Linked DNA regions of Stegostoma tigrinum. The protein of the gene in region 2 purifies or fractionates together with the protein of the main gene of each other region. This does not show direct contact. Links are inferred from orthologs where the notes say so. Each region holds a gene or a part of one and is shown on either strand. Other genes may lie near its edges. The genes, in order: axin1, map3k1, map2k1 and dcaf7.

What was found.
Region 1: the proteins of map3k1 (region 2) and axin1 purify together in Homo sapiens (affinity purification with western blotting; 5 studies listed by BioGRID and IntAct, with this or other methods). This does not show direct contact. The link is inferred for Stegostoma tigrinum from reciprocal best matches to the Homo sapiens genes MAP3K1 and AXIN1.
Region 3: the proteins of map3k1 (region 2) and map2k1 purify together in Homo sapiens (affinity purification with western blotting; 3 studies listed by BioGRID and IntAct, with this or other methods). This does not show direct contact. The link is inferred for Stegostoma tigrinum from reciprocal best matches to the Homo sapiens genes MAP3K1 and MAP2K1.
Region 4: the proteins of map3k1 (region 2) and dcaf7 purify together in Homo sapiens (affinity purification with mass spectrometry; 3 studies listed by BioGRID and IntAct, with this or other methods). This does not show direct contact. The link is inferred for Stegostoma tigrinum from reciprocal best matches to the Homo sapiens genes MAP3K1 and DCAF7.

What each region holds. Positions count from the first base shown.
Region 1 is NC_081376.1:42,034,572-42,042,386, reverse strand, and holds the start of axin1 (axin-1), read right to left. Parts: upstream 3,026-7,815; 5' UTR 2,865-3,025; intron 1-2,864. UniProt on the Homo sapiens protein: Component of the beta-catenin destruction complex required for regulating CTNNB1 levels through phosphorylation and ubiquitination, and modulating Wnt-signaling.
Region 2 is NC_081354.1:124,099,412-124,106,268, forward strand, and holds the start of map3k1 (mitogen-activated protein kinase kinase kinase 1), read right to left. Parts: upstream 3,012-6,857; 5' UTR 2,595-3,011; coding exon 2,278-2,594; intron 1-2,277. UniProt on the Homo sapiens protein: Component of a protein kinase signal transduction cascade. Activates the ERK and JNK kinase pathways by phosphorylation of MAP2K1 and MAP2K4. May phosphorylate the MAPK8/JNK1 kinase.
Region 3 is NC_081386.1:34,840,113-34,847,226, forward strand, and holds the start of map2k1 (dual specificity mitogen-activated protein kinase kinase 1), read right to left. Parts: upstream 3,009-7,114; 5' UTR 2,480-3,008; coding exon 2,400-2,479; intron 1-2,399. UniProt on the Homo sapiens protein: Dual specificity protein kinase which acts as an essential component of the MAP kinase signal transduction pathway.
Region 4 is NC_081384.1:38,612,945-38,619,826, reverse strand, and holds the start of dcaf7 (DDB1- and CUL4-associated factor 7), read right to left. Parts: upstream 3,004-6,882; 5' UTR 2,849-3,003; coding exon 2,552-2,848; intron 1-2,551. UniProt on the Homo sapiens protein: Involved in craniofacial development. Acts upstream of the EDN1 pathway and is required for formation of the upper jaw equivalent, the palatoquadrate. The activity required for EDN1 pathway function differs between the first and second arches.

The DNA.
Region 1 (7,815 bases), on a different chromosome or scaffold from region 2:
AATCTCAGAACACAATTCATGGACACCAGCTGAACACATTCCTGCTCAGTGGACTTTGCCATCTAGAACCAGGCAACCACCCACAACCATCCAGGCACCCCTCTGATACACTGATAGTGCTCTTTGGAAGCACAGACTTGCATTGCAAGATGCACCAGATACTGGCCCTGAAAGGTGCAGGAGGGACATTTTGAGCACAGGGCTAGGCCCCTTACTGGCAGTCTGGACCAGGCTGCATTGTAGGAATGCTTGCTGTCTCTCTTAGTGATCACTTACTGCCTACTGCCATGCAAGTAGCATCCATGCCTTGCCTTGCCATGCCAATTCATGCAGTCACCCAACAAGCAGGTTGCCTTGCTGTTAATGCAGTCCTCAGCCCAGGGGGAGCCACATCCTGCTGTGTGGCAGTGTGCCACATCAATCTCATAGCTGCACCATGTGCCTGCAGCTTAGCTGGCAAACTGATTGAGTGTGCAACGAGCAGACAGACATGAATCCAACTCTGAGAGGAGCAGTGCTCACAAGAGGCATTTGTTAGGCTGGCCCAGTACACTGAGTCAAACGCAGCCTCCCATTCAAGTCCAGGAGGTTGACCATGGCCAGGAGTCTGATCAGGGGCTGGGGGCCGTTCTCGGGGAGTGGACACAGTCAGTAATGCCAGGTTCAGTCAGTAGATCTAAAACGGTCGGGGAGATTTACAGGCCCCAGTCAGGGATCTGGGCACATCTTCTGTGTGGCTGTTGGATAATGTGGGTTGAGGGGGGAGGCTTGTGGCCAGTTATTTGTATTCCATTCATAGAATGTAAGGGGGAGGCGGGACAAGTGTGGGTGTAGCCATGGCAACGAGCCTCGGCAACAGATTCATTGGGACTAAGGGCTGCAAACTCTTGTCAAGGGTCTACTAACAATAGTGAAAGTGGGGGGAAGTGCTGGGTGGTGGCAGATGAATTTGCAAGGGGTGGAGGAGACAGTATAGTATTGCTGGGAAGGGGGTTATGCGGAGGGACAGGGTGGTTGGGTTTGTCCATGGACAGGAGCACTCTGGCTTTAAGGGAATCACACCTGGCATGGTCACTATATGCCAGGGGCTGGGTGGGTAGGTTAGGCAGTTGTAGCTGCATTTAGGTGGGTTGGTTTGGGCTTTGGGAAAGTGTGGAGCTAGTAGGATTCTCTATTGGGAAGGAACTGTGGATGTTTGGGATGACACAGTAGGCCTGAAGCTTGTGGCTATGGAATGAAAGAGCAAAGGAGAAATATGGCACAGGAACAGGCTCTTCGGCCCTCCAAGCATGTGCCGGTTATCATGCCCTAACTAAATTTTAAAAAACTTTTGCCCTTATTTGGTCCATATCCCACTGTTCCCTGTTCATGTAACCATCCAGATGCTGCTTAAATGTTGCCAATGTGCCCGCTTCTACTACCTCCTCTGGCAGTGCATTCCAGGCTCCGACCACACTCTGCATGAAAAACTTCACTCACGCATCTCCCTTAAACTTTCCCCTTCTCATCTTGAACCTGTGCCCCCTTGTAATTGCAACTTCAACCCTGGAAAAAAGCCTCCACCCTATCTTTACCTCTCATTATTTTGTAGGCTTCTATCAAATCTCCTCTCAGCTGCCGTCTTTCTTGCGAATTCTTCTATTCCATGCACAGGCCAATGAAGGCAAGCATGCCATATGACTTCTTAATCAATTTGGCCACTTATGGGCATCTTTTTTGGGAACTGTGGACTTACATGCCCAGATCCATCTGTATGTTAACGTTCCTAGGTGTTCTGCCATTTACAGTATAATTCACACCTAAATTTGATCCTCCAAAATGCATCAACTCGCATTTGTTTGGATTAAACTCCATCTGCCTTTTTTGTGCCCAACTTGCCAATCTATCTATACCCTGTTGTATCCTTTTACAATCGTTGGCACTATCAGAAACTCCAGCAATCTTCATGTCATCTATAAATGATTTGACCTGCAAGGGAGGGGTCAGAGGCAATCAGTGATCAAATGGTTTATAAAGGGGTATACATTGGCCTCGAAAGGTAAAGCAGACAAGTTGCTTCCAGCCAGGCTAGCTGACAGCATTGAGCCTCTCTGTACATTACACCACCCTCACACAGCCACTGGTGGGCAACTCATTGAGCTGTACACCTTTGCACACAGAGGGCTTCCCTCACTTCCAGATGCATTGGGCTCTCAGTACAGACCTCTCTCCAGGAGCCTCATCTGTGGCCATGAGTCATTGCTGGTGTGAAGGTGCATTACACAGATGGATTCGCAAACACATGGAAGGATGTTAATAATATCTGAAAGTTTCATGGACAATGTACTATTTACAGAAAAGCTGTCTTCACTGGGGCAGCCAAAGTGCCCTCAGGATATTTTCTTCCTGCTCTCTGTCTCACTGTAACTCAGTGCGCTCCCTGACTCAGCAGTGGAGCCCATTGTCCCTAGAATTTTGGTGCAGCAAACTTCACAATGCTTCAGCCCGGATGGCCAGGCACGCGATAGAATTCTTCCCAGAGGCAAGGTGACCCTCCTCGGCTTATACCTCCAAGGGTTGGAGGGACAGGCTGTCTGGAGAGAGAGAGCCCCTTCAGGGCCCTGAGTGTTATCTGCCTCAAGGCCAGAATACAGGTCCACCACCATCTGGGTGCTCCTTGGCCACCGGTCTATCCCCTTGTGAAGACGGGAACCTGGACTGGGGTAAAACCCCACACAAACAACAGCCCCCTCCCCTGCTCGCCCAGGATCACGTTCCTGTTTACTGACACCACAGGGACGTCTCCTGCTGAAAGCTGAGCAAGTGCCAAGTCTCAGGCCCACTGCTGAGTGCCAGATGCAGAGCTGTTGTGGCTAGGTGCTTACCAGACAGTGAAGCCACACACTGTGTGCCTATAGTTCCCGCCAGGGGATTGGTATCTGAGATGCTGAGGTCTTCAGGATGCTTCCTCTGAGGCCTCCATACTCCCATCCCCAGAGATTTAGGAGGGTGATTCTTCCACTACCAGCCATTGGGAGGTTTGCAGAGCCTGTAAGACAAAAGGAAGAAAAGACCAATGGTTGGAAGAGGTGTGCAATGACTGAGAGTGACAGTGTGCCATTGAGACAGTGCCATGCCATGTCATTCCTACTTCATTTGTTGGGACATGACTGTGTTGCATCCCTGCAGGAGGCAGTCCTGGTTGTCTCCTGTGAGGGTCAGGATTTTCCTCCCATACAGATTGGGACATGATATCAGGCACTGTCCCCCCGCCTGTGGAATAGGCTCTACCTGCCCCGTTGTGGGCAGCTTTCCCGTGTAATGCAAGGAGAAAGGTGGGAAGTGGTGGGGCAAATAAGTGAGGTAACAATGGGTATCCCAGCTAATAGTGCAGGCAAAAGGTGTGCTCTGAAAGAATGAGGAGGCAGTGTGGACGGTGAGTGGGCAAAGCTGGTAAAGGAATGTGTTGCAGGCAGCGGCGAGTGTGGTGGGGTATGAACCTTGGCAAAAGGAGCCTGCAGTGGGACTGATAGATCGTGTGTGAGGTGGCAGAGTGTGGAGGCGTGATGCAAAGAAGGTCATTGACCTTCTTTCTACATTCCTGGCCATTCCTCCTCACCCTGGAGCGGGCACTGGCATGGGTGGTGACCTCAGACCAAGTTGGCAGTGTTTGATGGTGCTCCTTCCTTTAGCGATCCTCTGGGAAGAGGGCACTTCTTGCTTCACCATCCTATTCACCAGGACTTTGAGGTCCTTATTGGACAATCAAGGCGCCAACTTCCCCTTCCCTGCCATGTTCCGACTCTGTCTGTCACTGGGCAGGGCTGCTTTGGAATGTCAAAACTGCCTTTTACAGATGGCAAGGAAGCAAAAGGTACTAGCCTCCACTGGGTGGTGAGTTTCCTGGGAATGGTGCATGGTAAGATGGGCAGAAATTAGAAAGCGATGCCTCAGGGGTTGGGCGGTCAATTAATGAGGCAGGTTTGGTAAGCTAGGATGAAAACCCATTAAAGGGTTAAAAAACCAGTTAAAGTAAACTCATGGCTGAAAAACCACGAAAAAAAAACTTGATGCAACTCAGACTTGGCCAAAAAAAATGTACAATAAATCTGGGATAAAAAGTTGATCTCAGTAATGATGGTCATGGAACTACCAGACTGTCATGAAAACCCATCTAGTTCATTAGTACCCTTCAAGGAAGGAAGTCACTGATCCTTTCCCGTTCTGGCCTACTCCAGGAAGGCAGAAATTCTTAACATCTCTCTAAGACAGTGTAAAAGCCACTCGATTGTATCATAACTGCTGCAGGAATTAAGTCACAAAGGATGTACCTACACCTCACAGACCACAGGGCTTTAAGCAATGGCTCATCATCACATTCTCATCGCCAGTTAGGGACGGACAATAAATACCAATGATTCCCAAAATCTGACAGTGAATAAAAAACACCGCACAGTTGGAGCCGCCACTATATAAAGGTGCGTTAACTATTATTTGACCACCTCCCCAACAGAAGCCCTGATCTCCCTACAACCCCTTTCCTGTTTCTTGCTAAATTTGCATCATTTATTTCCTGTAAGTATGTTCTTCCATCCTGAGCATTTACAAAGATTCCTGAAGAGAAAATGGACCAGTTTTGGCTCAATCCACCCCTCTGGTACCAACCACAATGATCTTGGGACCGATGCTTCCTTCACTTGTTCCACTCTATCAGAAGGACATTAAATTCTTTCAAATTAATTTTGTCGTATTTTCTCTGAGTATCTGCAAGCATTATGGGTCAGATCTGTGATAAACCTTGGCCAACACAGACCATCATCTTTGAACAACAAACAGTGTCGAGACTTTTCCATTGGAGAGAAATCTACTTGGGAATAATTTCCTCAAAAACAATTTCCTCTTTTACTGTTTGAATCAAAAGGCGTTGTGGCAAGATTAAACCATTGTGTCATCAACTTCAATGAAGCATAAAATTTTCCGCTTAAAATTAAAACAAGGCCAAAAGAAACCTGGACATTGCTGAGCTGGAAGTGAGTGTTATAAAACAAAGGTTCATTCATGCGCATTTAATGTGTATATTAATGCTTTAATTCTAAGATTCAAACTAGCTAGTCAAGTAAACTTACTAATAGTGGCAAGTTATTCTGTACTATTTTGGATTCAGACCCCATATGAAGTGAATTATTAAATTCAAAGCGTAATATTGTATGTGCCTGCAGAATTGAAATCAAGGATCACATTTCTACCCACCACTTGTTCACCAGGGAACAGATACCTGTTTTAAAATATCGCAGGGTTTACATACAGGAGCTCTCCAATTCTTGTGAATTTTCCCCATTGCCTAGTAAAAAGTTAGTGGAAGGCTGACAGCATTCAAGACAAAATCACAGAATAATCATATCATAGAATGGTTACAGCACTGAAGGAGACCACGTGGCCAATGCAGGGATATTAGGATGTGGTTTCATGCTGTTCAGAATCCAGATTTCAACAAAGAAGCCTTGGCAAAATTAGAAAGGATTTAATGGAATAAAAGGAGCTGGAGACTGATTCCTAGTGCCAGAAATCTGAGGTAACTGGAGAATAGAATGTGGCTTTAATTTTAATGTCTCCCACATACCCCATTCTCCTTGGGCGTAGGAGAGTTTGGGGAGTTGAAAGTCAACCTTTTCTAAAATGGATTTATCAGTAGTGGCAGGGGTAATGTTATAGGGGAGGTGGCTATTGTGTTTTGTCTGATGATCAGTAAGTCAGCATAACTCCGAAACAGATATTCATAGATCTATATTGTCAATTTGATAATTATGCAAACAGGTTAAGAAAAACTTGCAAGATTAATATTTTAAACTTCAATGTAACTTTGGAGGTTTGACACCTCTTCCTGATCGAGTGATTGTTACCCTGTCTGGAGAGGTGCAAATTGCTATCTGTTCAACTTGTTTGACATCTTGATTACCTTGCTGCCAGTTGCCATCACTCAACATCACCAGACAATGACCAATTGGAGTGTTTTTCCTTATTCCTTTTGTGCCTGACTGGTATGTTGTATGGAGCTGGCTTATGTTCTGTCGCAGCGTAGCACCATGATCAGTGATGACTTCATGTGATTTGGGCTGGTGGCACATTTTACAAGCCATTGCTAGCAGGTCTTCGTATTTCTATCTCACATCTTCCGCCCGGTGTGCACCTTTGGTAGTTCTCTACCTGTGTACTCGTGGTGTATCTTTTCCATTCTCCTCTGTCTTTGTCTCACATCTTGGAATGGTTAGAAAATTGGTTGTTGGGCAAAGTTGTTCATATTTTTCTTTCAAGCATAAATTGTGCTGGGGATGGCAATCTCTATCAGTGTTAATATGAAAACGCATCAGCACAATGTGAAAATTTTGATTTGAATGTTAACAATTTATCAGCATTGATTTGGTAGTATATACTAACACTTTGCTAGGCCACTTGAGCATGGATAATGGGGTGGTGATGTGATGTGGGTCACTCCCCACTTTGTGCATGTTTTGAAATGGTTTACCAGTGAGCTGTGGTCAATTGTCAGATTCTGTCTAGTCCATGATGCTGAATAAACTGAAAATAAAACTCATCCTGTAGATCAAGAGGAACATCTTGGTCTTTGTGTGTGTTTGATAACCTGCTGAGCCCATCAGATGTAATCATCCTGGTACCCGGCTTCTTTTTCACTTTGAAGAGATTCCCTTGCACATTGACATCTAGAAACTGTGACCACAGCAGTGCATGCATTAATGGTTCGTGGCAGATCATTTCTAGTGGCTCATGATCTGTTTCAAAGGTGAACTTCCTGCCGAATAACTAGGTATGAAATTGCATTATGTAGAATAGCAGAGCTAATTTCTCACACTCAAATTGGAATCGTTGGCTTGGGCAGGCAACAGGTGCTTAGACGTTTTTGCAAAGCATCCACTTCAAAAATCATGTATTTTTTGGGGTCATACTACTACAGAGGCAAGATTTTAGTGACAGAACTATCTTAAGAAAATCAAAGATGTATTTGTGGTCATTTTAACATTCATAGGGAATGTCCTTCCTGACCTAATCTTTCAGCACAGGCACATTGTCTGAGATGTTGGAAACAAACTGCATCAGGAAGTTCAAAATATTCAGGGTAACATTGCAGGTCCTCTTTATCCTGTAGGGTCAATATTTATTTAAAATCCTTGACATTGTCTAGATCAAGATGGACTCCATGGTGCAGTAAATGCAGCCAAAGATGTTTATCAGCTGATATTGATCTGGAATTTTGTGTTGTTAAATATGTGACATGTTTGTCATGTTACTGCCTTTAGTAGATAAAGCTGTGGTCCTGCTCTGCCTTTGTCTTGCCTACGATTATGATGTCATTAGCATTGCAAACACAATGTCGTACATTTTAATAATCCTTTCTATCCACATGCTGCTGGACCAGGTCTTAGCGAACTAATACACCAAATGGTAATTGGCAGAAAGAGTACCATCCACATAGTGTGTTAAATGTCGTGAGCTGTTGGGATTCTCCTGCTAAATGGACAGAGAAGTATCCAACTGACTTTCAGAAGAATCATACTCCAGAAAATGTAAGTCTTCCAGTGTTGGCATTTTGAATGGACACCATTTAAGTGAATGGTTGAGGTAGCTTGGATCAAGACATAATGTATAGTGACATCTGTTCTTAAAATGTACACAATGGATCTAGCCAGTGTGGTGTTATACCACGCCACTCCAATCTTGTTCAGTCGTACCTGAAACGTCTCTTGAATGTGTGCACTATGTTTCTTTGAAGGATTGGTAAAGAGGTTGCATCTTCCTTAAGAGGCAATACTGTATCACCCT
Region 2 (6,857 bases):
ATATATACTTATTTTCAGTGTTCAGTAATGGGAAAATGGCTTGGAAACTGATTTTGTAATGAAACTATTTTCCAGAAAACAAAAGCAACTACATCAGAATTGTATTGTTAAGCATGCTAACTATAGAACAATAGTTCCAAATTTGTGGGACCAATGAAAGCCTTGCTGTAGAGATGACAAAATTACTAAAATATCATCTCCACTTATATGCAAAGCAGGTAACAAGAAAAATAAAACAAAACAAACTTTTGCTTACATTTCTGCAAGAGTTTAATGACTTTGAAAAGTCAAATCTATGCAAGGGCAATTCTTATATTCCGGTCACCTCACAATCCACATTTAAGAGTTCTCTCTTGCCATCCAACAAAAACATTACTGGAGAAAAGAAATGCTCCAGAAAGTAGTTGTTTTGAAAACTTTCTATTGATTGATAAATAAAAGCCAAGATTTGTGAAACCAGCAATGAGAAGAAGTCAAAGCAAATTCTATTCAAATTTGCTGCTCCATGTACAGCTCATGCAAGGGCCATTAAGTGTTCAGATACACTGTATTCTTGCTTCACTAAAAAGTTGATAAAAAAGGTGACAGCGATTGCTTCACTGCTAGAAAACTGTCAATAAATTATTCGCCTGCGGACATTAGAAATAAAACCATACTTCCCTTCTACAAATTCACGTTAACTTCAAACAGACGAATGTTTACACTTCCTCGCTTTGAATTTTCCCGGAAAGTGGCGACATTACAAAAAACAATTTCTAAATGTTTTAACATAGTTACAAAGTAAAGTCGCCAAAGCCCCAGGGGGCCACAGGACTGTTTTGAGAGAGAGAGAGAGAGAGAGACACACACATTGAACTGGCGATGGGTTAATCCCAGGGTCACTACGTCTCAGGCAAAGGGCGAAATTGAGATTGTAGGTACTTAATAGTAATCGAACCTGTGTTGTTAGCGTTACTGTATTGCAAACTAGCCAACTGAGCTAACCGATGCCCAACTATTCATGCAGCACCCACATTTACGAATATTTTATACTACAGTTTCCTCTACATATCACCTTTGGGACCCTCCTTAAACTATCTACGAGTAAAATACTACATATTCGCCCCGCCCCCTCCCCCGCGCCTATTTGACGTAGTCATGTCCCAAAAGCAGCTAGACTCCAATTCAGATTCAACACAAAATGAAAGTCGCTCGAGTTTGCAGGTTTGAAACGCAGTTACTGACACTAATCTAGTAATACTCCACAAAATTAATACCCCCACGACATACAACTTAACTAACATTCCCACTTACACGTAGGTTAAGTAATTACAGCATACAAAAATTAATACAAGTACAACACATTATTAATCCACTCGTACACAAAACTTTGACCTAAAAATGAAGTACCTTATTTCAAACGCACAAGACGGTAGAGGAATCTGTCATTTAATCTGCGCTTGGAGGTGCAAATTCATGGCTAGTGCGTAAAGCCTAAAATGACAGGAAATCCTAGACGCGTGTCTTCGTTCACGTGCTATGAACATCCTACTACATTGCTTAAATTCACGGGCGAAACATCAAACTTGCAACCTGAATCCCAAGTACGGTCAGTTTTTTGTAGAACCGGGGGGGGGGGGAGACGTCTTGTTTTTGTCCCATTATGAAAGTTTACGAAACAGGGCATGCAAGAACCTAACGAATATCATTACCCCCTTAAACATTCACAATACCATAAAATGCTACAAAATCCTGTATTACATACACCGCGCTAAATCCGCTCCAAGTATACCACTATCGCCAACTTTCAATGAAACATGACTCAACCGGACGGACATGCACATCTAGTGGAGTTAAGAACAACGGCTGGTTCTTCAAAGATCAGACAAGATCATATGACAACACAACCGACAACATATTCAAAATATTCCGGAAACTGGGCTTGGCAAGGAAAGACTCTTGAGCAGACAGATCTCCAACAAAACACCAAAATCTTTAGTGTAACGGGGAAATCTCGTGTAGCTGCGGTTACATGTACCTACAGGACACACTGTTTATTTACATTCAGCCTCAATGTCTGACGCTGCAGCAGATATTCCGCCAGCAGCGGGAACAGTGGGACCAATCCCAGTCACTAACCCTTCATTCACCTTTCTTTCCCATCCCGTTCCAGCTCCCCCACCAATACACCCCCCCCCCCACAAAAATCCCCCTTCCCCTCATGTTACGCTTCTACTCATTACAGTTAAACTGTTATCACAAACAATGAGGGAAATTACCTGGCAGTGCCTTCCTTACCTGAACGGAGGGCCTATATCCATAAGAATGGCCCCGGCCGAGCCCCCATATCCATATCCTGCTGGTCCGGCAGTGCCGCCGGATTGCGCGGGCTGCTCCGCTCCGGCATGGGGCAGACACAGGTCCGAACTCGGCTCCTTCTCCACCGAGGCGTCGAAGTCGACACTCTTGACTTTACGGAGGTGCTTTCTGCATAACGCGAGCTGCTTCTGGGCCGAGGCCGGCTCTTCACTCGGCTCCGAGCTCTTGTTGCCGCGGCTCCCAGTCCCGGTGTCCCCGGTAAACACCGTCCGGCTCCCGGTGCCCGCCGTCGCCATTTTGTCCTGTCTCAGTTCATGGGCCTCCTCCGTCGCCCCCCGTCCTTCCCTCTCTGCCCCAATGGGGGGGGATTGAGAGAGAGATGAGCGGCCTCTTCCTCCGTACAGGAGATACAGCCGGGCGGAGCTCAGCCCCTCACCACACCGACTCCCTCCTCCCCACACACAGCCGCTCAGTCAATCAGCAGCCGCCCCGGAGCCGCACTCACATCCTCCTCCTCCTCGGTCCCGCTCCGCCCCCTCACTTCTCCGCCGTCGTTAAAGTGGATTGCCGCCGGCCCAGCTCAGGGTGGTGAATAACATCTCTCTCCGGTTGTAGGTAGGTATGTACGGGAGAAGGCAAGCAGTGTTGCCGGCTGCTACACAGTACTGACACCAAACTTGGCCGTTTCTTTTCCTCACTCTCAAATGTGCTGCTGCAGCAGCGCGAGGAGGAGCGCGCGAGCCGCCGCTGCTCCCCGTGGGTCCGGCCCTATTCCTTATATGGACAAACTTCCCTCGAGATAGCCCCATCTCCTCTCCTCATGCACAGCTCGGCCGGACGCTGAAATCGATCGTGGAAAGTCTCCTCCTGCATGTCGCTCAATCACTTCATTCACTTCTGGGGGTCGGGTCGCGGGCGGGCGGGCGGGTCGGTCGGCTGGACAACAATTGGGTCTCACCCACTGAACAGAAATCTCCAACGCAAAATACACCAAACGCTGGCGATGACTGAGTTAATACATGTTTTCTGGTGGCGTGTCTGTCGATTTAAAATGTCATAATATTGAAATGTCCTAATTTTTAATATGCAAAATGTTTTTAGGATGTGATACACCCCAGCAGAAACAATGGTGGAAGCACAATCTTTACTAACGTTTCAAAAGATTTCCGTCCTAAAACACATTTCCCTTTGTTCTTTCTTCCTCCCGTTCCTTAATTCTGAACATGCGTAAAACCCGGTGTGTATGTTTCTAATACTGATTAAAGTTACCAACCTGAAAAGTTAAGACCTCTCCGTGGACTAGAACTTCCAGAATATTATTTTTATGTTACAGCGTGTTGCTTGAGATACAGTTTGTTTTCCATTTATTAAATTTAGATTGTGTGGTTCTGATTTGCAGAGATCCAAGATGAAATGCGATATGAAATAATTCAAAACAAATCGTATAGCAAAACTACTGAGGTATGGAACTAAGCGGATAACTCCATCAGAGAGGCTTATGGACTCTGTGTCTGCTTGTATGATGCTAAGTTTCTTTTTGTATTTACTCGTACACTGTTTCTGCCTTTGCTTGCCCCAATGGTGAAGTCTCGGAAAGATTAACAGCCAAATGAACTTCTCCCCATTGCGTAAGAGACCTAGAATGGAACACGCAGCCAGCGTTTTCTCCCTTAGAAGCAGGACACTTCATTGAGCCGCTAGGCCTCCATACACATTTGAAGTAAAATTCTTGAAAAGATTGGAGGTAATGTTCACCTTTGTTGCAAAGAAAGTAGGAACTGCAGATGCTGGAGAATGTGAGACAACAAGATGTATTTTTCTGAAAAAGAAGGGTCTAGCCCTGAAACGTCAGCTTTCCTGCTCCCCTGATGCTGCTTGGCTTGCTGTGTTGATCCAGCTCTACACTTTGTAGTCTCGATGTTTAGGTTTTGGTTAGGTGGCTTATCTGTTGGTTGTGGAGATCATCCCATCTGACATATTGCCACACAGACAGCAAAAGTGAAAATTCTTCTAGGATTAAATCCCCTAAGAGTTAAGGGCAGAGTCATTGGAAATAATTATTAGACAAGATATTTGTGAAGTAATTTTTGTTATAAAGCAAGTGAATAATTTGAATACATGCCAGAAGGATTTAATTTTGAAGTTTGCAGACAATACTAAAAATATGATATGTATCTCCCTTTCTACAAGGCAAAATGAGTTGCAATTGATTGATTTATTGTCACATGTACAAAAGTGTAGTGAAAAGCTTTGTCTAGGACGAGTACAGGCAGATCATAGTAAGTAAGGATGTACAGATCAAAGGTTGTTTAAAAAGACTTAGAGGCATACTGATTACGTTGCACAGGGTATGCACTAGGCAAGAACAATGTTAGCAAGATCAGCATTATTTGAGGCTAGAGAGTCCATTCATCAGTCTAATAATAGCCGGGAAGAAACTGTTCCTGACCCTGCTGGTGTGTGTGTGTACCAAAGACGATTACAGATAGAATTTAATATCAGTTTAAATGTGCAGTGCTACATTTGGTTTAAGAAACAATGGTAGTTATTATCTCATAGGAATTAGGCTTGCCTTGGAGCAAAGAAATGGATTTGGGGCACAAGGTATTGGACAAGAAAGACAGCACTTATATTGCAAAAATTACAAAAGAAAAACTTGGAATTTTAGATGTTGAATCAGAAGAGATATAGAATATAAAAGCTGAAGGCAATCATCACCCATTTTAAAACATTGAGATCCCTTTTAGTATACTTTGTGCACTATTAAATTTCACAGAATAGAACTGTCAAAAGCTTCATTGAAGATACAAGGCATAATACCAGAATGTTACATGGCATGAAGAAATACAAATGTAAAGGAAGATTAGAAGTACTGAAAACTTTTTAAATAAAATTATCCAGAACACACAGAAATGTGATAGAAGTTTGCTAAAATGTGAAATGAATAGATAGAATACAGGGAAGTAGCCTTTCCCAATTGTTCAGTAGTTTAGAATGTGATAAATATAAAAGATTTAACAGAACACAAAATAAGTTTCTTTAACAAAAACAGAAGTTACTGGAAAAGCTCAGCAGGTCTGGCAGCGTCAGTGAAGAGGAAACAGAGTTAACATTTCAAGCCTGGTGACTCTTCTTCAGAACTCATGGTAGCTAGGAAAATTGTATCAGAGATAATAGGAACTACAGATGCTGGCGAATCCGAGATACCAAGGTGTGGAGCTGGATGAACACAGCAGGCCAAGCAGCATCTTAGGAGCAGGAAAGCTGACGTTTCGGAAGGGTCTAGGCCTGAAACGTCAGCTTTCCTGCTCCTAAGATGCTGCTTGGTCTGCTGTGTTCATCCAGCTTCACACTTTATCTGGTAGCTAGGAAAATGTTGCAGAAGATAGGGTGGGAGGAGGTGGAAAAGAGTAAATGATAGGTGGGGATAATAGAGCCCAAAGAGAGAGAAACAATTTGGACTGACAAAGGAGTGGATAACGATCTGGCTGGGAGGGTGAATAACTGTTAATTTTCAGAAGAAGGGTCTAGGCCCGAAACGTCAGCTTTCCTGATCCTATGATGCAGCTTGGCCTGCTGTGTTCATCCCGCCCTGCGCCTGGTTATCCCAGATTCTCCAGCATCTGCAGTTCCTACTATCTCTTTTAATGAAGATTATTAGTGGCTAACAATAGATAGTGCGGAATAAGGCCTGGTTAGTGGGTTGTGGGCTAGGACATGGGAGAGTTCAGTCCTTAAAATAATTGAACTTGATGTTGAGCCCAGAAGGCTGCAGGGTCCCTAAGCAGAAAATGAGGTGTTGTTGTGCTGGGCTTTGCTGGAGCACTGCAGCAAGCCTGAAACAGAGATGTTGGTAAGGGAGCAGGGTGGTGTGTTAAAGTGGCAGGCAACCTCCCCAGCACCATTCTCCACAGGGCTCTCAAGCGGGTCCGATCCATCTCCCGCACTTTCGCCCTCATACCCTCTTTTCCCGCAACAGCGATAGGGCTCCCCTTGTCCTTACCTACCATTCCACCAGCATCCTCATGCAGAAGATCATCAGCTGCCATTCTGCCACCTCCAGCAAGTCCCCCTCCCTTGTCTGCCCTTCACAGGGACTGTTCCCTCTGGGACAACGTGGTCCACTCTTCCTTCACCCCCAACACCACCTCCCGACTCCATGGCACCTTCCCCTGCAATCACCCAAGATGTAACACCTGCCGATTTACCTCCTCCCTCCTCAGTATCCAAAGGCCCAAACATACCATCCAGGTGAAACAGCACATTACCTGCACTGCTCACAATCTAGTCTACTGCATTCACTGCTCACAATGTGGTCTCTACACTGGGGAAACAAAACATAGACTGGGTGGCTGCTTTACAGAACATCTTTGTTCTGCCTGCAAAAATGACACTGAACTTCCAGTTCCCTGGCCAACGCCTCTGTCTCAGGCAAGCTGCAGTGTTCCAATTAATCTCAGCACAAACTGGAAGAACAACACTTCATTTTCCACTTAGAGACCCTGCAGCCCTTTGGACTCAATTTTGAGTTCAATAATTTTAGAGCCTGAACTCTCCCA
Region 3 (7,114 bases), on a different chromosome or scaffold from region 2:
ACTGAGACAAGCAGAGTTGATTTTGCACACAGCAGTAGCAGCATCATGGGCCAAATGATGTGCGCCCATGCCGTAACCAGTTTTTTAATTTCATTTTTGCTATTGTGTTATTACTGGGTTTCACAATGATTCAATGTTTACAGCCACAAATTAAAGCTACTTGACATTCTGCTTCTTCCAAGTTAAATGATTAGTATCAAATGGAAGAGCGTTTCATTATTCTATGGACTACATTTCCTCTAGTTGCAACCACAGCTGCTTCCAAACAGGCCAATCCCAGGAATTTGTAATCTCCCATACTGCTTTTCCAGATTGCTTGTCACATTTTTGACCATGTGCTGGAATTACTAGGTGGTAACTGCATCTCAAACAACAGCTACTAGAAAACATAAGCTGCCACCCTGAACATTCATGGTCCATTCCAAAAGTTGGGCCTCGTTTGCAACAGGGTAATGGACTTAGAACACACAACCCCTGCAGTGTGGAAACAGGCCATTTGCCCAACAAATCCACACCACCTCTCCAAACAGCATCCCATCCAGGCCCATTCTCCTAGCCCTGCATTTCCCACGTCCAACTCACCCAACATAAACATCCCTGGGCACTATGGGCAATTTAGCATGGCCAAAGCGCCTATCCTGCAGATCTTTGGAATGTGGGAGGAAACCAGAGGGAACCCACGCAGATACAGGGAGAACGTGCAAACTCTACACAGACAGTTGCCCGAGGCTGGAATTGAACCTGGGTCACTGGCACTGTGAGGCAGCAGTACTAACCACTGAGCAACTGTGCCGCTTTGCACTTAGATAATGATTTCCATAAATCAGGACTTCCCAGACTGGATTAAAGCCAATAAAAGTAATTCTTGATGTGCCATCCCTATTACATTGTAGGAAGCACAGCAGCAAATTTTTGCACAGGAGATCCCACAAACAGATCTATGATGGTTAAGTACTAGCCCCAGGGTACTGATCAGATTCTCCCTGCTCTTCTTCAAACCAAGCCACATGATCTTTTGTATCCACTCGAGGTGATCACATTGACTCGGTTTAACAGCTAGTTTGAACTTTGACACCCATGACTGTACAGCACTCCCTCAATGATGAACTGTTTGAAAGCAAACTTCATCCCCTATTCTCCTGACTCAGTAAGTCAATGGGCCGTAACAGATAAGCTCAATCTCAGTGGAGACTAAGAGGGGGCTGCAGTGTCATCTGCTCAGACTGGAGTTTTGGAGCCTAAAGGGGCAGTCCAGCCCCAAAAAATGAAAATGTAACTACAGCTGGAAACTCCATTGGCCAGGCTGCCATCCGTTAATGTTCAGTGCGGGCACAACACCCCATTACCAAATTATTGTAACCAGTCTCAAGTTAGTCACATCCTCATTCAAGATAAAACCTGAAATTGAGGCCAGCATTCCCAACAGTACTGAGGGAGTGCTTCACTGTCAGACAGACCACCTTTCAGACTAGACAAGAGACTGCGACACAAAGGTAAAATATCAGAAATACATGGTTATTCTCTGCTGCCCTGCAATCAGGCATGCTTTTGTTATTTATATTAGCATACGACTGAAAATTAAAAATGCCAAAGATTTGTCCAATTCTCACAACATCATTGACTACAACACTAACATGAAAATACACATTAAAATTTATATAGAAGTCCAGGGATATAAATTCTAGGTCACTATATTACTCATCTACATGTTATTCCTGCCGACTTGAACATTTTGAAATCCCCATGTTCACATACAATGCAAAGTCTACCTAAAGTTGTCGCATCTTAACAACACTTCCTAGAGGTGGTGTGCTGCCTCCACAGGAACGAAGTCGTAATTGCAGTGTGATGTTTACATGGGATCATTTACAAAGTAAACTGCCCAAGGGAGTTTATATTATAGAAAAGAATAGAATCCATTATTTATACTCAAACCCCTAAACCACATCTCCTTTAAGATGATATTTGGTTCTGACCCCCTGCCTCCACCCTTCTGAAGGATATCAACTAAATGGTTTCAAAAGCTCACAGGAGGATCAGATCGTTCCCTAAACACTCTGCCCACAAGTATGCTCAACAGTATATTTATCTTCGGGGAATGGCGGAGGTTGACTGAACTAGGCTGTCTCAACGTGTGTAAATATCGTGGCAGGCAACAAAAGCTCCTTCAAATCAAATTATGTGCCCTTTCTCTCTGAAAGAACCCAGGCCCACACCCTGCGGGTCCCATGTTAAACCTGCTCTGAAACTGGAGAAACCCACTGCCTAGATATTTACAACCCGCCGTCCTAAAGAGAAACACTATTCTCTTCCTCAGTCACCCGCTCAGGACAATGCGAGGAATCCGCGTTACTGCTGCTGTTCCCGGGATAATGAGAGATGGAGAGGAATTCTCTTACTCTGCGGAAGTGGTCCCATTCAGAGCCGAGCCATCGGGACTCGGGTGTAGCTGGATCGGTCCCGGCTTCTTCTTGGGCATGTTGTGGCCAGAGGGAGCGGCGCTGGCTTTATACACACACACACGTGTGTGCTTTGTGTCTGTCCAAGTGAGAGCTGCTCCTTCACTCTGCCGCCGCTCTGTCCGTTTTGTTGCTACTTTACAAATTCAGTTCCGCCTTTTCCCGGCGAGGCTGCTCGCGAGAAACGTCAAACGCTGCGAGCTCTCGTTTCCTGAGGATCTAAAACAACCCCCCGCCCTCAGCACAGGCTCCCCCCCTCTCCCAAAGAGCCCGGTGCCCTCGCACTGTGCCCGCTCTCAGGGGCGGAGGTAACAATGTAACAAGCTGCAGGCGCCTGATACTCTTCACCGAACTCTGCCCGGTGATACTTGCCAACCTCTCAGGGAACACATTTTTCCCTGTCTGTAAAATCGTCAATCCCAACCTGGGTCTGCGGAAATGCGTCACCGATATATCTACACGCAAAAAAAATGGCATGCTATTTAAATGTGAGGTGCATGCTGCTCGGTCAGTCCTGGACAGAGAGAAATCTTTCAGGCAGAGGCAGCCTTCAACGAAGAGAATTTCCTCCTAACTCCATAGACCGACTTTAGTGCAGGAGCAATAGAGTCAGTTCCTAGAGGAAACTGTCAAAATTAGAAACTACACGCCCAATTATAATTGGAGAATATAAAGAGTCATTTGAGGAAAAGCAAATGGATATATAAAACTTGGGTATTTAGAAGTGATTATTTTATAACGTGGTTTTAACTAGGTCTCAACAAAAGTGCTTTATGTGTTATTAAATAATCTATGTGTGACTAAACTTTGTTTTCTATTATAAAGTTTTCTTTACGTTTAGAATGAAAATTACGGGGTGGTGTGTCTTTTTCAGTGTGATAGGTTTACATAAGCATTCCCATTATTAAAATGGACATAGGGATAACAGTTTATACACTACAGACTGAGTTATAGTCACACAGCACCTTTCCACAACATCAGAATGTCACCGAGTTCTTTACTCAGTGATTTACTTTTTGAAGGCTTTTCATGATTATGGGGTAGATAATTGCCTTCTTCAGCTATAAACTCCACTTCCCCTTCATTCCATGTGGAAGTGAAGTAAGATGTTCTAAAGCAACAGTCTGCACATATTTTCTAATTATCTACTTTTGCCGATGTTTATGGTCACTATCGAATTTTCCCTTTTAAAAATTTTGTTGATATTTCACTGACTGGGTCACAGTGTAATTGCTTAGTTTAGCCTTTAGGTGGCTTTGTAGGTCACATTTTTGAAATATTTCTTCGAATCCGATCCTTAGTCTCTTGTACAGACATGTTAAAGTTTTGTTTCATTCTTTGTAATAGTTAAATTTGCATTCATCTAACTACTTGTTTCATGTCCATTGACTCAATGCTTTTGGCATTTATTAGGCCTTGATGTCTGTCAAATTATGGTCCCACGTCCCTTAGTGAGTGCCCCACATAAATACATAATCTTTCCGTTCCCTCAGAGATAGTAAGAACTGTAGGTGCTGGTGACACAGTGTGGAGCAACAGGAACACAGCAGGCCAGGCAGCATCAGAGGTGCAGGAAAGCAGAAAACCCTGAAGAAGGTCCTGAAGTGAAAGATCAGCTTTCCTGCTCCTCTGATGCTGCCTGGCCTGCTGTGTTATCTTTCTGTTCCCTCTTAGCATATACCTTCAATTGAGCTCCATCTATCATCAGCCACTCCCCAAGTCCCTCCAAATAACATTCAAACCCACAATTATCACCTAAATGAAGGCAAAATACTGCAGATGCAAGAAATCTGAAACAACCACAGAGAATGCTCAAGAAACTCAGCAGGTCTAGCAACATCTATGGAGAGAGAAAGTGTTAATGTTTCGAGCATGGTATAACTGTTCTTTAAAAAGTTTTTTCTGTTTCTCTCTCCACAGAAGCTGCCAAACCTGCTGAGTTTCCACAGCACAATTACAACTTTCTGATACTAGCAACCAATGGACTTTGATGTACAATTTCTTGTCAGCAACATGATGGAGTAACATTCTTAAAGGCCAAGTCAGCATTTATTGGCAAGCCCTCATTTCCCCAAAGTGGAGGAAGGGTTGGCAGTGGAGCATCACCTTCACGGATTGTTGCATGGTAGGACTGAATTGCTATTCACTGCTTTCACATGGGACTGGAATCACACATAAACCAGAATGTCAAGTTCTTTGCCAAAACATCTTGGTTTTGAGACAGTTTCATGGCCACTTTTACAGATGTTAGTTTTTATTTCTATTTTAAATTCCATAATTCGTACTTTTCATCTGTTTACTACACTTTGGCAGCATTATCCAGAAGACATAGTGATGGTTTTCTGATGTGCACTGAAAATATTCAATTCTGTGTCACCATGACTTCTCTCAACTCTTCACGTGTCACTAAGTTATCAGACTGTTTGTTCAAAATCCAGGATAAGTGGAGCAGAATTTTTTTCCCAATTAAAACTGGGAAGACTGAAGTTATGATCTTCAATCCCAATCAAAAATGTAACTCTCCATTTTGCAATCTAATAAGGGAAGGACATTTTAAAAGAGTGGGAGCATTGAGGAGCTGCCAGCCCTGAATACAACTTAGATTTTCAACCGGGCACTTGATGAAAAAAATCACCTGCTCTACGTAGAATATTAACTAAATTTTTTTAAAGCTCGCAATTCATTTTCATTATTAATGAAGGAAAAATGTAACAGAGTTCCAGGCATTGCACCACATTGCACCACTCCTACCACATTCTTTATATCATGGCTCAATGCGTTATACCACTACATCCAGTGGCAACCCTTGCATCCACGCAATTAAATACAGTGTGGACACAGGCTGAAATTCTGTTTGAGTTATCCAAGTAATATAAGAATATATTGTAGCAATATTGGAAACAAGGAAGTAATTATAAGACTGTAATCTTATTGAGAAATATAGTTGTGGTTTCTGACATGGACCAAACCCCCAGTGGAAGATTAAATCACTCCATGTAACAACTTACTCTGGCTTTGCGTAGATCACTAATGAGGCTACATTTAGAGTACTGTGTGCACTGAGTACTGGAGAAAGTTCAGACAATAATGGAAAAGACTATTATAGAACTTGAACCCTGGTGTAATGGGGAATATTCACAGAACAGCAGAGAAATGCATATGCAGGTGGAGCCATCTTCAAGTCTTTAGATTCTGTGAGGAACAGATGAAGTAGATGCAAGGAGATTATTTAGTTTGTGAATTGAAGAAAACAGCTTAAAAATTCACACTAAAGTGTAATTTTTTTATCCAGATTGAATTATGCCACTTCAGAAAATATCCATCAAAAGTTGGTTGCCTCATTATTTGTTTAGAAAAGAATTTATAGCTGTAAGGTCAAAAGCAAAGTGATGCAAATGAAATGTTCCACAGGGATTGATAGAACCTGTTCTGCTGGGGCTCAGGGGTCAAGAATGTATGACAATGGTGCAGGAGCAGGCCATTCAGCCTTTGGGGTCTGTCTGTTGTTCACTAAATGTTTGGTTACATCTTCCTGCACTATTCTAAATTCTCTTCAGTTCCTTGGTATCCAAACCCTATTAATTGCCGAAAGATTGTAAGAGGAGCTGAATATTGGGAATGTAAAGATATTTTGGTATTCCATATGATTACATTTAAGAATCTGGACATTTATCAGAAATTTTCATTTGCAAGGGGTTTGAAGTGTGATTCTGCAGGAAACAAGCAGCAAAGATTTACATTGACTTAATATTCCCTTGTGTGGAGAGCAGCAATGTAACCGAGGCAGGAAATTTGTACTCTGTGTATGCATGTACCAAAGAAAGTGGCAAATTGAGACTGATTTTTAAATCCTGTCACTGGATTTTAACACCTGGGACCTTTCATGGACAAAAATAGTTTTTCAAAAATTAAAACTCTCTCTTAAGATGACCACATTGAAGACCTGACCAGGTTGACACAAACTTCATGAAACCATAAACTAACAAGACTCCATCTTAACTGAAATTAACATCTCATTAAAATGGTGTTATTCAGATCAGCATCTGCTGTATAATTTACACCTTTCTGGAAATTTCATACATTGGATGAAATTTACTTGTAGATTTTCCAGGGATGTGATCCCATTGTTTTGAGGAGAACAATAAAATAGACACAGGGATACAAAAATGAGCTTTATTTCAAGCAAACTACATTTGGGGCAGAGAAGAGAGTGCGAATTTGGATTGAAAATAGCAGAACTGGTAGGTCTACTGTGTCAAATCACATCTCTTAGCCTCTCACAAAGCAGCAGGTGGTGACATAACAAATTAAAGAAACATCTATTCACCAAAGAACTCAAGGACATCTACAAATTTCACTACTGCTAAAGATACACGACATCAATTAAGTGACTGTGATAATAAAGTGTGAGGCTGGATGAACACAGCAGGCCAAGCAGCATCTCAGGAGCACAAAAGCTGACTTTTCGGGCCGAGACCCTTCATCAGAGAGGGGGATGGGGAGAGGGAACTGGAATAAATAGGGAGAGAGGGGGAGGCGGACCGAAGATGGAGAGAAAAGAAGATAGGTAGAGAGGAGAGTATAGGTGAGGAGGTAGGGAGGGGATAGGTCAGTCCAGGGAAGACAGACAGGTCAAGGAGGCAGGATGCGGTGGT
Region 4 (6,882 bases), on a different chromosome or scaffold from region 2:
CGGCTGTGACACTTCATTCTACTATCCTGATGCACTTTGTATGATGTGATCTGCCTGTATAGCATGCAAACTAACACTTTTCACTGTATCAGAGTACGTGACAACTACAAATCAATATTTTCACAAACAAACAAATAGGGACTACAACCTTACTACAAGGCAAGATAATCTGTACCTGTTTAACTCTCACACATTCATCCAAGCATAAAGCAGATAGCTTGACATAAATATTAAGGATGGAAAAAAAATAGACAGGGAAAGCAATTTCTGTAGAAGTCCAGACGACAAGGATGTAGCATTATTTCTCTTAGCTCTTTTGTTTATTGCACTGATAACTCAACGATCAACTAAATTTCTTCTAAGCAGTGGGGGAATTCCTCCCAATTCACAACTCGATTCAATCCTTCTGACACTGGGATGAGATTCTATACCCAAAATCCCAGAACATGGTCAATTTTTTTAACATACAAACCCAGAGCAAGAGGACTGTAATGTCCAGAAAAGAGAGCAGTCTTATTCATTTCCAAACACAAGCAACTTACAGCACACTCCATACGGAGCAGTAAGAAAAAGCTGATGGGAAACCCTGTCTGCTGTCTCTTCCTTCGCTGAATAAGATTATGAGATTACAAGAAGAATACCAATGACTGATTGGTTGAGCACAGCTAATGTTACTCAGCGTATGAGTCAAACTAAAGTCTTTTTGGTCTCTGATTTGCTACTTGAGCTTTAGAACAATGCTACACCAGTGATTACATTCATACAAAAACATCTCCTAAAAATTCACAAACATTTTATCCATAAAACACATGAACAATATAAATTTGCTCACACAGCTTGTGTGTTTGGTTGCAGAAGTTTTGTCACCTTGCCAGGTAACATCATCGGCTTGCCTCCAGTGAAGCACTGGTACTCCGTCCTGCTTGTTATTTGTATGCCTCAGTTTGCTGGGGTGGTTGGCATTACTTCTGATTCTGTTTTCAGTGGTGTGTACATCAGATCCAGTTCTATGTGTTTGGTGATGGAGTTCTGGTTGGAATGCCAGGCCTCAACGAACTCCCTGCCATGCCTCTGTTTGACTTGTGCTATTATGGATGTGTTGCCCCAGTCGAATTCGTGCTGTTCTTTGTCAGTGTGTATTGAGGCCAGTGAGAATTGGTCAATTCTCTTGGTAGCTAGTTGGTGCTCATGTATCCTTATTGTCAGTTTTCTTCTAGTTTGGCTGATGTAAATGTTTTTCACAGTCCTTGTGTGGTATTTTGTGGATTACAATAGTTTTATTGGTTGTGGGTATGGGATACTTTACATTCGTCAGTGTATGTCGCAGGGTGGTTGTTGGTTTGTGGGCTACCCTGATACCTAGGAGTCTGAGCAGTCTTGTGGTAATTTTGGATATGTCTTTGCTGTACATCTGGCCGTGTTGTGTTACCAACAGGAACGACTAATTTTCTCAAAACACTTGGGCAAAGGGCGGCACAAATTCAACTGGGACAACACATCCGTAATAGCACAAGCCAAACAGAGACATGCCAGGGGATTCCTGGAGACCTGGCATTCCAAACACACTGAACTGGACCTGATATACAAACCACTGAAACACAAAGTTGGAAGTAATGCCAACCAAAGATGTCACAGTCCAAAGATGTGCAGGCTACGTGGATTGGCCATGTTAAATTGCCTGTAGCGTTCAGGGGTGTGAGTGTTATAGGAAGATGGGTCTGGGTGGGTGCTCTAAGGGCCTGTTTCCACTCTGTAGAGAATCTAATCTAACCGAGGCACATAAACAACAAGTGGTTCAGAACACCGACGCTTCATTGGAGATGCACTGACAATGTTATCTAGCAGGGTGACAAAACATCTGCAACCAAACACACCGGCTTGGCAAGTAAGCCTACACCCCTCATCCACAACCCGAGCTACAACTCTCCTCAAAAACTTTAAATACGTTAATGCTCTCCAGACTGTACCAGTAAGCTTCAAGACCTGAAAGCCTCTTGTGTCTTTACTGGTTTCACTTCAGACAAATCAGGGCATAAAATAACAAAGCACTAATCATGCATCATGACCAACAACGCAACTGTGGGGAAAACCAAGAAGGTGCTACATTATGGAGAATATTCACTTCTCAAACTAAACTGAAGTTCAACCTGCCTATACAACAACTACCCCCATTACCAAAAGATTAATCAACTGCCAACCTGGCTCACTGCTCACAGGCTATCAAGTACAGGGGAAAAAAATACTGCCATACTTATCCCAATAGCTCACAATGTTGCGTACTATACTTCTCCCAAGCCATTTCCTCCACTACCACTTTATTGTCCACTCCACCGTACTCTCCCTCAACTCTTCACCCCTAAATCGTGCACTCTCATCTCTCCCTAATTTACTTTCATTACTTTCTCTTCCTAAACCCCTCATTCCCCACCCACCTTTTCCTACATCACCCCAATTCCCAGAACCAATCCCTTCTCTCCCTAATCACCCCTCTTCCCCTACTCCCGCCATCCCCAAATCCCCAGACAGGCCTCACTCTGCGGCATCTCCTTACCCTCCAGACCCGTAGATAGTCTCCGGAGGTGGCGAGCAGGTCGGGGTAGACGCCCTTGGTGTCGGGGATCCACATGATCTTGGTGGTGGGATACGGATGGTCGAAGGTGTTGCGAGCGATGAACTCGGAGCTCTCCTCGTCCAGGCCCACGATCTGCACCTTGTTGTTGTACTCCTCGACGAAGGAGCCGAGCGCCAGGCGGAACCGCTTGTCGGGCCGCACGCTCCAGTTCATGGCGTACACGGTCCATGGCGCCTCGTACTTATAAATCTCCTTCCTCTTGCCGTGCATGCTCATCTTGGGATGGCGATGTCAGGCCGTGCGCTCGGAGCCCAGCGCGGCCCAGCCTCGCTTGCTCACTCTCACTCTCCCCGTCGCCCTGCTGCCCTGGGCCCGGGCCCAACAACAATAAACCGCTCAAAGTCACAACGGAAACCGACTGCTGACTGACAGCCTCTTTCACCAATCACAGCCCGTCCTTGTCCGAACGACCGTTCGAATAACCAGTCCAGTATAAAGACGGGGGCCGACTTTTGATATCTTGGCTTTGATTGGTAAAAATGTTAAAGCGCCGAATGAGTGACATAGAATCTACCCAATCGAAACCAGCCAATGAGGCGGGCGCTGACCCCGTCCTTGATTGACAGCTGTGCGGACAAAAGAATTCTGGGAACCTGATAGGCGGTTTTTTTTGTCCGTTGCTGGGTGAGTTTTGAACATCAAACACGACCTTCAGCTTGATTGACAGTGGTTTCACCAATCAGAGTGAGTATGAGAGGCGCAGGCCCAGTGGCTGATTAGATAATTAGCGGGCAGTTATACATTGGGACCAAAGATTCGCGCGCCCTACACGCTCTGATGGGCAACGAAGAAAGCCAATCATAGGGGAGGCGGGCTTTCCGTGTCCCGAGACGGTATTGAATGACAGCCGTGCGGACCAATCGAAAGCAGGTTCCCGGCTTGATGCACTGCGGCCCTCCCCCATCACCCTCACACCCACAGTTGGTGGATGGTCATGATACAATGTCCAAATTCCCGCCCTAACCCACTCCGGAAGTTTGTGGAGAGCAAACCGTGAGTGAGATTCCCCAGAGGTCATTCTGGGTCAGATGGTGGTTATTCAAACTGGGACCCCCACCGTTACACCACCCTCCCCACACATGCCCATCCAGGCCTTGACCGTCTCAATCTATCAAGTCAGCTCCCTCTCTCAACCTTTCTCCATTATGTTCCTAACTTGTAGATGGTTCACATGGATGATCTCTGTAATGGTAGGTTTAATGTACAATGAACGGCTGAGGATCCTGGGATTGTACTCATTAGCGTTTAGAAGGTTGAGGGGAGATCTAATAGAAACGTACAAGATAATGTATGGTTTAGAAGGGGTGGAATTTAGGAAGTTGTTTCCGTTAGGCAGGGAGACTAGGACCCGTGGGCACAGCCTTAAAATTAGATGGGGTAAATTTAAAATGGAAATGAGACATTTCTTCAGCCAGAGAGTGGTGGGCCTGTGGAATTCATTACCACGGAGCACAGTGGAGGCCAGGACATTGAATTCTTCACGGCAGACGTTGATAAATTCTTGAGCTCACAAGGAATCAAGAGGTACGGGGAGAGTGCAGGGAAGTGGAGTTGAAATGCCCATCAGCCATGATTAAATAGCGGAGTGGACTCGATGGGCTGAATGGCCTTACTTCCGCTCCTATGTCTTATGTTCATATGGTGGACTGGTTCTGAGGAGTAGAGGAGAACCGACTGCACGATTCGCGACACTTATATTCATTGAATCTATAAGGCTAGTCCAGTCAGATTTCTGGGCAATGGCAATGGGAAAATCTCTGTTGGAAATGGTCATTGCCAGTCATACAAGTGACATAAACGTTAGCTGTCACCTATCATCCAAACCTGAATGAAAACACAGAATGTTTTAGTATCTAAGGTGTTCAACAGTGCAAAACAGCCCACTTCTGATTTTTGGGGAGAGATGACTGTCGATGAAGACGCTGGGGTTAGAACACTACCTCATAGAAATTCTACAGCACTTTCCTTGGGCTGAGGATAAATGGCCAACAAGCACAATCACCTTCCTTTGTGCTAGTAATGACTCCAAGCAGTGGAAAGATTTTTCTAGTTCCAACTGATTTTAATTTTACTGACAATTTCACTCACCTCACCTCACTTCTGAAATTGAAACTTTTTTTCCTTATGTTTCACACAAATCTGTAACGAGGTGGGACAAACAACCAAAACTCAACATTTATTAACAGGTTAGCGTTGGATAAGTACTTACAGAAACAATCAATTTCAATCAGTTTGTGGATGACCAAGAGAAGATTGATGGAATAATAATTGCAAGATTCAATTTACATTGTTTTTTGCAGACAGAAATTACTGGACAATTTTCTTCCTTGTCAGATAGTGCCAGTATTGTACCTGTTTTGGAACAGCTTGACCAGTCTTCACAAATCTGGAACATGACTCTTTATTACTACAGTCAGGTTGTTGTAAGATCCAATAATCTTTGCTGCATCCAGTCAATTAAAATGTTTCTTGATTTCACGTGAAGTGAATTAAATTGGCTGACAACTGGTATTTATAATATTGGGGATCTCAGAGAAAGGCGAGATGAATTGTCCACTCAGCACTGGTGGCTGATGATAGCAAATTCTTCAACCTGTCTTTTGCTCTCACTTGCAGGCCTCAATCATAGCTTAGAAGGTTTTTGGAACTTTGTTTTAGAACATAGAACAGCAGAGGAACAGGCCCTTTGGCTCACAATGTCCATGCTGACCATGATGCTATTCAAATCCCACCTGATTGTACATGATCAATTTCCCTCAATTCCCTGCATGTTCCTGTGGCTAAATCTCTCTTAAATGTTGCTATCATATCACCTTCCCTAGCATCTCTTCTTGTTAAGTAAACAAAGTTGCTGGAAAAGCTCAGTAGCACCCGTGAAGGAAAAAACAGAGTTAATGTTTCTGGTCCAGTGACCCTTCCTCAGAACGCAGCTCTCAATGTCTCAGAAATCAGGGTCACCGGATCAGAGATGCTAACTCTGTGTTTTTTCCTTCACAGATGCTGCCAGAGCTTTTCCAGCAACTTGGTTTTTGTTCCTGATTTACAGCATCCATAGTTCTTTCGGTTTTTTATATCTTCTTGTTAGTTCTGTCATTGTCTATCACTGTGCATAACCTAGAAACATTAGGGACTGCAGATACTGGAAGCCAGAGTCAATAGATGTGAATCTGGAAAGGCACAGCAGCTCAGACAGGATGCTGCCTGACTTGCTCTGCTTTTCCAACTTCACTTTTATTCATTATTCATAACCTGATGTGGCAGGTAGATCCTGGTTCATGGAGATACATCAGGAACCAATAACCATCACCCAGGACTGTAGAAGACCCACTGCTCTTGGGTTCGGTGTGGCCAGTCAATTCAGTTTGGTTGTTGGGAACAAGCCAGGAGCAATTCTAGCACGGTGATTTCTGTTCAGCCAGTGATGGTAGCACTTCAAAGCTTGGTTACGATCCACTATTATCCACAATAAAAGCAGACAGTTGTAGTTTCTACAATGTATGGTTCTCCAGAACAAGCGAAGCTGTCTCAATACAGCATCTCCCTGTGTTGGTTGAGGCTTGGCGGTGGAGTGCCTGCCCAGTGGGGAGCATGTAGATGGATGGCACCGAACAGGGAATATGCACCAGATGAGATAGCACTTGGAGATTAGAACAGTTCTAACCCGCACAGATGTGGGCTTCTGGCATCAGATGACTTTGACATAAGGAATGTGGCAGAGTTTCTGGGCAGTTTTGCCCAGAACATGGTCACAGAAGACCCAGCATCAGGAAAGGAGAGGTGTGAGAGATAGGGAGCTGGATCATGGGGATTTAAGACAAGTCAATAAGAAAGGGCCACATGGATTATTGTGAGACTCTCAGACTGGTGATGGAGCAAATGTATCAGGGGAATTAATATGAGGCTAACTGGCTGGTGTGGGAAAGAGAGGCACTTTTTCATGCACCACGTCAGCAATTCTAGGACAGAAAGAAGATGCACCAATCAAACATATTGTATCTGAACTGGGATGAGACCCACGTCCTGGCAGAAAGGATGATAGCAAAAGTTTTGAAGTAGTAAGATGGTAGGGTGAGTGATCCAGAAGAACTATAAGTGGCCTTATTGTAAGCAGAAAAAGGCAGGATATTACAGGAAAGACTTAAGGCAAAAAATTGATGGCTTGGGAATAAATAATAAAACAGGAATCAGATGAGGGTGTAGCAGTAACAGCACTGGACTATTAATCCTTCTTCAGTGACTGCCGCTGGCTT